2 linked regions of the Schizosaccharomyces pombe genome follow. The protein of the gene in region 2 interacts with the protein of the main gene of each other region in a biochemical or structural test. Each region holds a gene or a part of one and is shown on either strand. Other genes may lie near its edges.

What was found. The genes of interacting proteins can lie anywhere in the genome.
Region 1: the proteins of cdc12 (region 2) and cdc15 form a complex in vitro, tested with the Schizosaccharomyces pombe proteins (4 studies listed by BioGRID, with this or other methods).

What each region holds. Positions count from the first base shown.
Region 1 is NC_003424.3:1,401,193-1,404,792, reverse strand, and holds the start of cdc15 (F-BAR domain protein Cdc15), read left to right. Parts: upstream 1-1,856; 5' UTR 1,857-1,906; coding exon 1,907-1,987; intron 1,988-2,045; coding exon 2,046-2,137; intron 2,138-2,313; exon of another isoform or gene 2,314-2,328; coding exon 2,329-3,600. Other genes in the region: CCR4-Not complex subunit Not1, read right to left, coding at 1-1,471. UniProt on the Schizosaccharomyces pombe protein: After the onset of mitosis, forms a ring-like structure which colocalizes with the medial actin ring. Appears to mediate cytoskeletal rearrangements required for cytokinesis. Essential for viability.
Region 2 is NC_003424.3:281,256-285,217, reverse strand, and holds the start of cdc12 (cytokinetic formin Cdc12), read right to left. Parts: upstream 1,875-3,962; 5' UTR 1,743-1,874; coding exon 1-1,742. Other genes in the region: exocytic docking protein Mso1, read right to left, coding at 2,814-3,269. UniProt on the Schizosaccharomyces pombe protein: Plays a role in the cell cycle. Involved in cytokinesis. Component of the cell division ring. In the absence of profilin, caps the barbed end of actin filaments, thus preventing subunit addition and dissociation.

The DNA.
Region 1 (3,600 bases), 1.1 Mb from region 2:
TCCTAACGAAGACAAATTTATGTTCTTTGAAATTGGAAAAAAAGTCTGAACACCATTGAAACGCTAATGACTCTTGAACAGGATTCCATGCCAAAGGGAGCTGCAGCGTACCCAAAAGCAAAAGCTCGGCAGAAACTTTCTCATCCAAAAAATTCAAGAACAGTGAAGTTTCGTAGGTGACTACCTCAGATAACAGGCGTAAAAGGATTTGGACAAGTTCAATGCAATTTAAATTACTTTTTTCATATATTTTCGCATAATTAACAAGCTCTTCGCTATAATCCTTTAAGCTATCAACAGAAACTACAGGATTGACATTGAACTCTCTTATATCAAACATCGATGTTGGGGATAGGATAATATGAGAAATGATGGAAAGTTGCGGTAAAGGATTTCTCCAAAGAACCCAGAGAAAGTCCAACGTAAAATTAGTTTGCCTTAACTTGTAAGCATTTGTAAAGATTGTGAAGAACAGTACAAGACTAGGTGTACCCGTTATCATAAATTTAGGATTATCGAACATAGAAAGCATAGCTTCCCAATTTAGGTTTTCAAAAGAGGAAACGATAGCTTTACCCATCAAAACAGTGTCCCAAGCACCATAATCATGTATAGCTACAAGTGAATTTATAAGATAAGCAACATCAGTCTCAGTAGCCGTTCCCGGGGGATATTTTTTAAGAATTGCTTCTTTCATAGACTTAAGTGTAGCTTTGGAAGCTTTCATCGGACCAAACAAAGCTGTAAGAGGGCGTGAATTCGCCAACTTTTTCTCAATTATAGCATCAAACTTTGGAACTTTAATCAAGGGTATTCTGTCATAGTCGGTGGTAAACAAACCTTCCCTGAGCAAATCCAAATCGTTTTTATCAATACTTTGTTGCTGAGTAGGATCGGATAGTTGGTTTAAAAGAGATTGGAATGTGTTTTTAAGCAAAGCAGAAGCTTTCTTTGCTAAAGTAGGTTTAACAGAAGTGGTAAGTCCAATTAAAAGGTTAGTCCTTTCTAACGGGGAGAATTGGAAATGGTCTAAAAATGCCTCTATATCGAAATCTTCAAATACTTCAGAATCAGAACCTGAAATAGCATCACTAAAACGTTTCGCCATGACCCAAGACTTCGTGAGAGATTTTAATTCATCTAGTAGTAATTTATAAGTAGCTAGTCCATCAGAAGATTTACCGGTACCAAAAATACGGTATGAATTTCCTTGAATTAGACGGCGAAGAAAATGGTGGTATACTCTGGGTGCATTTTTGTTGATAAGTTGACGAATCTGTTCAAGTTTCGTATCATATTGGTCTTCCCGTAAGGTCGACAATAAGAAAAGGATTTGTGCTTTAACAATACTTTCAATTTTTGAATCGTTTGGTGGAGGGGTCTTAGAATCTAGTGATATAGGATGCCCAGATTCAGAAGTTGAACTAGATTTCTCTCGTGTCTCCGGCGTTTGTTGTTCTTGGCTCTTCATATTTTTAACGCTTTTCTATTACCATGCCTTTGTGAGGCTATTATTATACTCCTATGCTATTTTCAGCTGATATATTCTTTGAATATTTACAGATGAGATGCAGCAGTATCTGCTAGCAAGTTTGAATGAAAATAGGTGCAGTGGTGTTTTGCAAAAGATATGTCGGTCCTCCTCACTGCCAGGCAGTCTAAGAAAGGATCGAACATTAAATTTAACGAGACTGTATCTTTCGTAAACTTTTTTAACAAAATTTAAGGATAGAGTTAATTTGCAGTTGCTTATTGTGCACTCAGATAGGCAACGGTTGCTAGGGACGGTTGTCACCGCAGTAGTCGCAGTAAACAAACATGTTTACTCTTTTCCTGAAATCGACTACCAGGAATTTACCAACAACAAATCACAAATTTTGCTGCATTTTGTTCTTTCAATAACAAAATGGAGGTTAATGGAGTCTCTCAATCTGAAGCGGCTCCGTACGTTACCAAATCTTCTGTTAAGTTCCGCGATAATTTCTGGGTATGTGTAAATTTGCTGTATTTAGTAAAGCAAAGTTATGTTAACAAAATCGTTGCAGGGATCTGAAGATGCGGGTATGGATGCTCTTATGTCCCGAACAAAATCTTCTCTTTCCGTATTAGAATCAATTGATGAATTTTACGCAAAGCGGTAAGTATGGTTGCCTCGTTTGGAAGTTGCAGCTCTACCTTAAGCGCTACGATGATTCAAGAAATATGTTTTTGGTCGTTTCATTGTCATTTAAGATGTTTTACAGATAATCGTGGATTCTTAAGATAGCTTGTGTAATGAACCGAAGGGTTCGGTATGATTATTGATTAAAGTCTGACTAACTAAATTAGTGCTTCTATTGAGCGTGAGTACGCATCTAAACTGCAAGAGTTAGCTGCCAGCTCAGCAGACATCCCAGAAGTTGGATCAACTTTAAATAATATTTTATCTATGAGAACTGAAACAGGGAGTATGGCCAAAGCGCATGAAGAAGTCTCACAACAGATAAATACCGAATTGCGAAATAAAATTCGCGAGTACATTGATCAGACGGAGCAACAGAAAGTTGTTGCAGCCAATGCCATTGAGGAATTATATCAGAAAAAAACGGCTCTCGAAATAGACTTATCCGAGAAGAAGGATGCCTACGAGTACAGTTGTAACAAGCTGAATAGCTACATGAGACAGACAAAAAAGATGACTGGTCGTGAATTAGACAAATACAATTTAAAAATCCGTCAAGCAGCGCTAGCAGTAAAAAAAATGGATGCGGAATACAGAGAAACAAACGAATTACTTCTTACAGTTACTCGGGAATGGATTGATCGTTGGACAGAGGTCTGTGATGCTTTTCAACATATTGAGGAATATCGTTTAGAGTTTCTCAAAACAAACATGTGGGCCTATGCAAATATAATATCTACTGCTTGTGTAAAAGATGATGAATCTTGTGAAAAGATTCGACTCACACTCGAAAACACTAACATTGATGAAGATATTACTCAAATGATTCAAAACGAAGGTACCGGAACTACAATTCCCCCTTTACCCGAGTTTAATGACTATTTCAAAGAAAACGGATTAAATTATGACATCGACCAGCTCATTTCTAAAGCTCCTTCTTATCCATACTCCTCTTCGCGTCCCTCAGCTTCTGCATCTTTGGCAAGTTCGCCAACACGTAGCGCTTTTCGCCCCAAAACTAGTGAAACAGTTTCATCGGAAGTTGTATCATCACCACCTACTTCACCATTGCATTCACCAGTTAAGCCAGTGTCTAATGAACAAGTTGAACAAGTTACAGAGGTTGAACTTTCTATTCCCGTTCCTTCTATACAAGAAGCTGAATCCCAGAAACCAGTACTTACAGGGAGCTCAATGCGTCGACCTTCTGTAACATCACCAACTTTTGAAGTAGCTGCTCGTCCTTTGACTTCAATGGATGTTAGATCCTCTCATAATGCCGAGACTGAGGTACAGGCTATACCCGCTGCAACAGATATATCACCCGAAGTTAAGGAAGGTAAAAATAGTGAGAATGCTATCACGAAAGATAATGATGATATTATTTTGAGTAGTCAACTTCAACCTACTGCTACCGGAAGTCGGTCATCTAGGTTGTC
Region 2 (3,962 bases):
AGTAAACGGCCAACTTCATTTGATGCAAATTCATTGAAGCTACTTAAAATTGAGGATTCATTTGACATAAAGGAATCGACATCTTCATGCGTGGTCTGACTTATAGTCCTCCTCTCTTCTTCTGATTCATATATGTTTAGTTGTTTCTCAAGTTGTTGGTCAGGAAAGTTACGTAGAAGTTGTATAACTTCGTGTATACCTGATTCACGAAGGGAATCCAATATATCAAGGTCAAATCCTTGCTCCAATTCTTCGCAAGCAACAATTAGCTGATTGATAAATTCCATAGTGGAAGTACAATACTCAAGAAACGCTATGTTTGAAGGTGAGCTGGAAGCAGAATTTCGAGCAGGAGAAGATGGAGGGGTTCGTGCTAATTCTTTTTCCAAGATTATGTCTTTGAAAGATTTTATCCATCCAAAGAATAGCGGAACCTCCTTTTCATATTCGGCATTTATTTCTTTAAATCCAGTTTCCAATATGGAGACCACAAGAGGTTCCTTTAAAGACAGAACCCATGTCAATAAATCTGCGGCTACTTTCCTCGGAAGCAAATTTGGGGATATAAGGGTCACTGTTATTGCTTGAAATATATAAGAATTGGAAGTAACCAGAGTAGGTTTTTTCTTCAAAAGAGTAAGCATGCAACGAGGAACTTCAGCTTGCTGAGGCTGCACTACGGCAGACGAATTAAAATATGTAAGTAGATTATGCAAAGCTCGAAGTCCCTGCAGTTCAAGAAAAAGAGATATCCATCGATCGGATTGAGTTGATAATAAAGAAGAAAGTGTGATAAGTTGTAAATTACTAATTGTTTTATTCCATAGTTGGATTACGAACCAGGAAACAGGTCTATGGACGGCAGCTAATTCTGGAATTTGGAAAGAAGGATCATCAAACCCGGCGAAGTTAGAACGAATAAAACACCACTTTTCATCTGGAGTACAACTTTGAAGCATTTCAATGGCGTTTTCGTCAAAATCAAATACAGGGTGTCTTAAAAAATCGTTGAATAGATGTATTAGCTGATCCAATGAAGGTGGTCGAGTACTCGGAATTTCAAACTGAAACGAGCATACCGAATTAGGGCTCCCAGCTCGAATTGAACGTAGTCGATAAACTTGTTCATCATTAGTAGAAGTGAATTTTGGGGAAACCTCGTTGGTAATCTCAGGGACTTCAACAACAGGAGCAAGTTTATGCTTAGTTCGCCTTTTTGTCTTAGATACTGGAACTGAGGGAACAGGAGGTTTCGGCAAAGGATCAAAAGAGCGAGAATGTACAGGGGGTGTCACTGGAGCAATTTGGACATCCTCAGAACTTTTAATAATGTTTTTGGGCAACCTAGGACCCTTGAGATGTTTAGAAGTGTGCAAATGTTCAACGGAAGACGAAGATGGTAGATCAGTGACTTCAACTTTATTCGCTTTGGGTCGATGGACAGTAGATTTCTCGGGTGTTTTAGGTAAAGGAAGCTGGGAATTTTGCAAAGCATGTTTATTATGAGAATTGTACTCTTTCGATGAAAAGGTAAATTGCTTTACATACGGAGAAGTAACTGATTGGGACTTATTAGGCTGGATTAACGTCGATACTGATTCTATGGATGATGGAGGTTTATGGTACGTTGTTTTGGACTTAGGAGCCCTTGGCCCAATAGTTCTTCTGGCTGATGGAGTTGGAGTAGACAGAATAGAGTCATAAGAAAAATTAGGGTCCTGTCCCTTTGACGAATTTCGCATCTCTACTTCATAAACGAATGCAGCATTGTAATTGCTTTCAGGATCTTGTTTTCAAGTATTAACAAGGAAACTGTGATGAAAAGTTTTAGCTCAATTAAACCTTTTTTTTAAATTTGCTAAAAGTTGATGTTCAGAACTTGTTGACCTTCAAATTTGGATAAAGTGGAACACTTAGCGAGTAAGGGTTGGGATGGCTTAAATGATCTAAGATAATACGTATACTTGCGAACAAGTAAGTTGAAAGGAAATGAAACTTCGATATATCTAATATTATAATGGTTAAATTGCGTTATAGCGTATTAAATTTTATTTTTAGGATAATCGAAATTCTCGTCTTGTAAGTCTAGTCTGCATTTGGATGCGGTTTCTGGTTGCTTAAAACGTTGTTCAATGAGAAAATACATTCGTGAAGATCATTTTTACTTACAAAGCATTCGTAACATATTTTGTTGTCACGTTGAGCTAAATATAACCAGAAATTTGCAAATAAACGAGAATCACAAGAACGAATCCATTGGTGCTTTTATTTACATACCATATTAAATTACAATAACGAATTTTCACAATTCGTCCCTAAGTGTTCGAGTTAGAAATTAAAGAAACCTATACGATGCGCTGTATGTAACGATAAGTTTTTATAATGTTGAATTGATTTCAGCTACTAGCTTTAATTCTACCAAGCGCTTTTTGAACAGTTTAATTTTTAAAGCTACAATCCGGTTAGAAACATAAAGAACATGTGATGGTTATTTAATTAGACTAAATGATAGTTCTCAAACTAAAGGCGAGTTGCTTAGGATAGTGCACCTTATTGTCAGGTCATTCCAAAAATAATTACTAAAGGAAAAACCAGAAAAGGTGAGCTAACTCAAAGTTGTAAAATAAGTAATTATGCCTCTGTACTGACAAATGTCGAACTTCTGGGTAAGATGGGCTTAGTTATTAACAAACGAGGTTGAGAATAACACATACGTAGTAACAGCATTTTCAAAGAAACAAAAAGTCGTTTTGATCATTAATACGCCATTAACAGATACCAATGAGAGTAAAGTAAAGGTATCGTTGTGTCAACTAAAACTTCTTTCTAGTGTGATCAAATTTTGACCGTAGCAATGAGCCGGAAGGTGTAGAGGAAAGAGGTTTCGTGGTGGAAGGTGATTTTTGAAGACTTCCGACACCTTCAAACAAATCGTCAAAGGTACTATGTTGAACAGAAGGTAATCGTCGTAAAGGGGGAGACGAAGCAGAGGAAGTGGAGGACGATAGCCTCCTAGGATTGGCCGGAATATATGAAGCTTTTAAATTTGAAGGAGCCGCATTACTTGCATTTATGCTAACTGGGGAAGTAGGTCCTGTGTTAACTGGAGGCTGCCATCCAGGAGGACGAAGCCATTCAGGTAATGTCCCAATTTTGTCCATATAGTATTTTCTCATTACACGAGCAACGTGAGTATCTTCAATCGTATTATCGCTTTCAGGGTCGCGAATACGATTAATTTTTGAAGAAATCGATAACTTTGACCACATGATGAATCGAGAGTTCGCGTTTCTTTATGTACTACTTAATCTCTAAATTTTAAAGAACCTTGGCATTTGAATTCAAAAAATTTCAATAAAAGTAATTAATAAAAAAGTTTAGCCATTATTATGATGCCAAGAACGGCTTAATATCTGGCGACGCGGATTTCATAAAGACGCCAACTCGCTAAACTGTCTAAAGTGATTAATAACACGACCATGAACTACATTATATGTTTTAACGAATGTAAAATCAGCACATAAATAGATAATTTTATTGCAAATGTCCAATTGATTAATATCTTACAAATAAAAATAATTTGTGGGTGGATTTAAACATTTAATTTAGATACTCTCGAAGATGATGCATGAAATCGGCTAAAAAAAAGAATGAACGATGAAAAGCTTGGTAAACAAAATCAATACTGAGCAATCTTACTATGTAGTAGCTAATTAAGGTATACATAATTTCTAAATGGACTACGAAAATGTAGTTTTAAAATAGTTAGGTAAGTTTTAATTTTACTACTTGTAGTCTTCCAAAAATCATAAACTAGTATCTACAATAAAAATTTCTTTAAATTAAATATATGTCGGTGAAAAAGAGCCTCGCCCTTAATATGTATTCACTACGAAAACTAAATAAGGATATCGTATATATTAGTTGTTCTGCGTTCACAAAGCTGAGTGCATTTTTGGAGT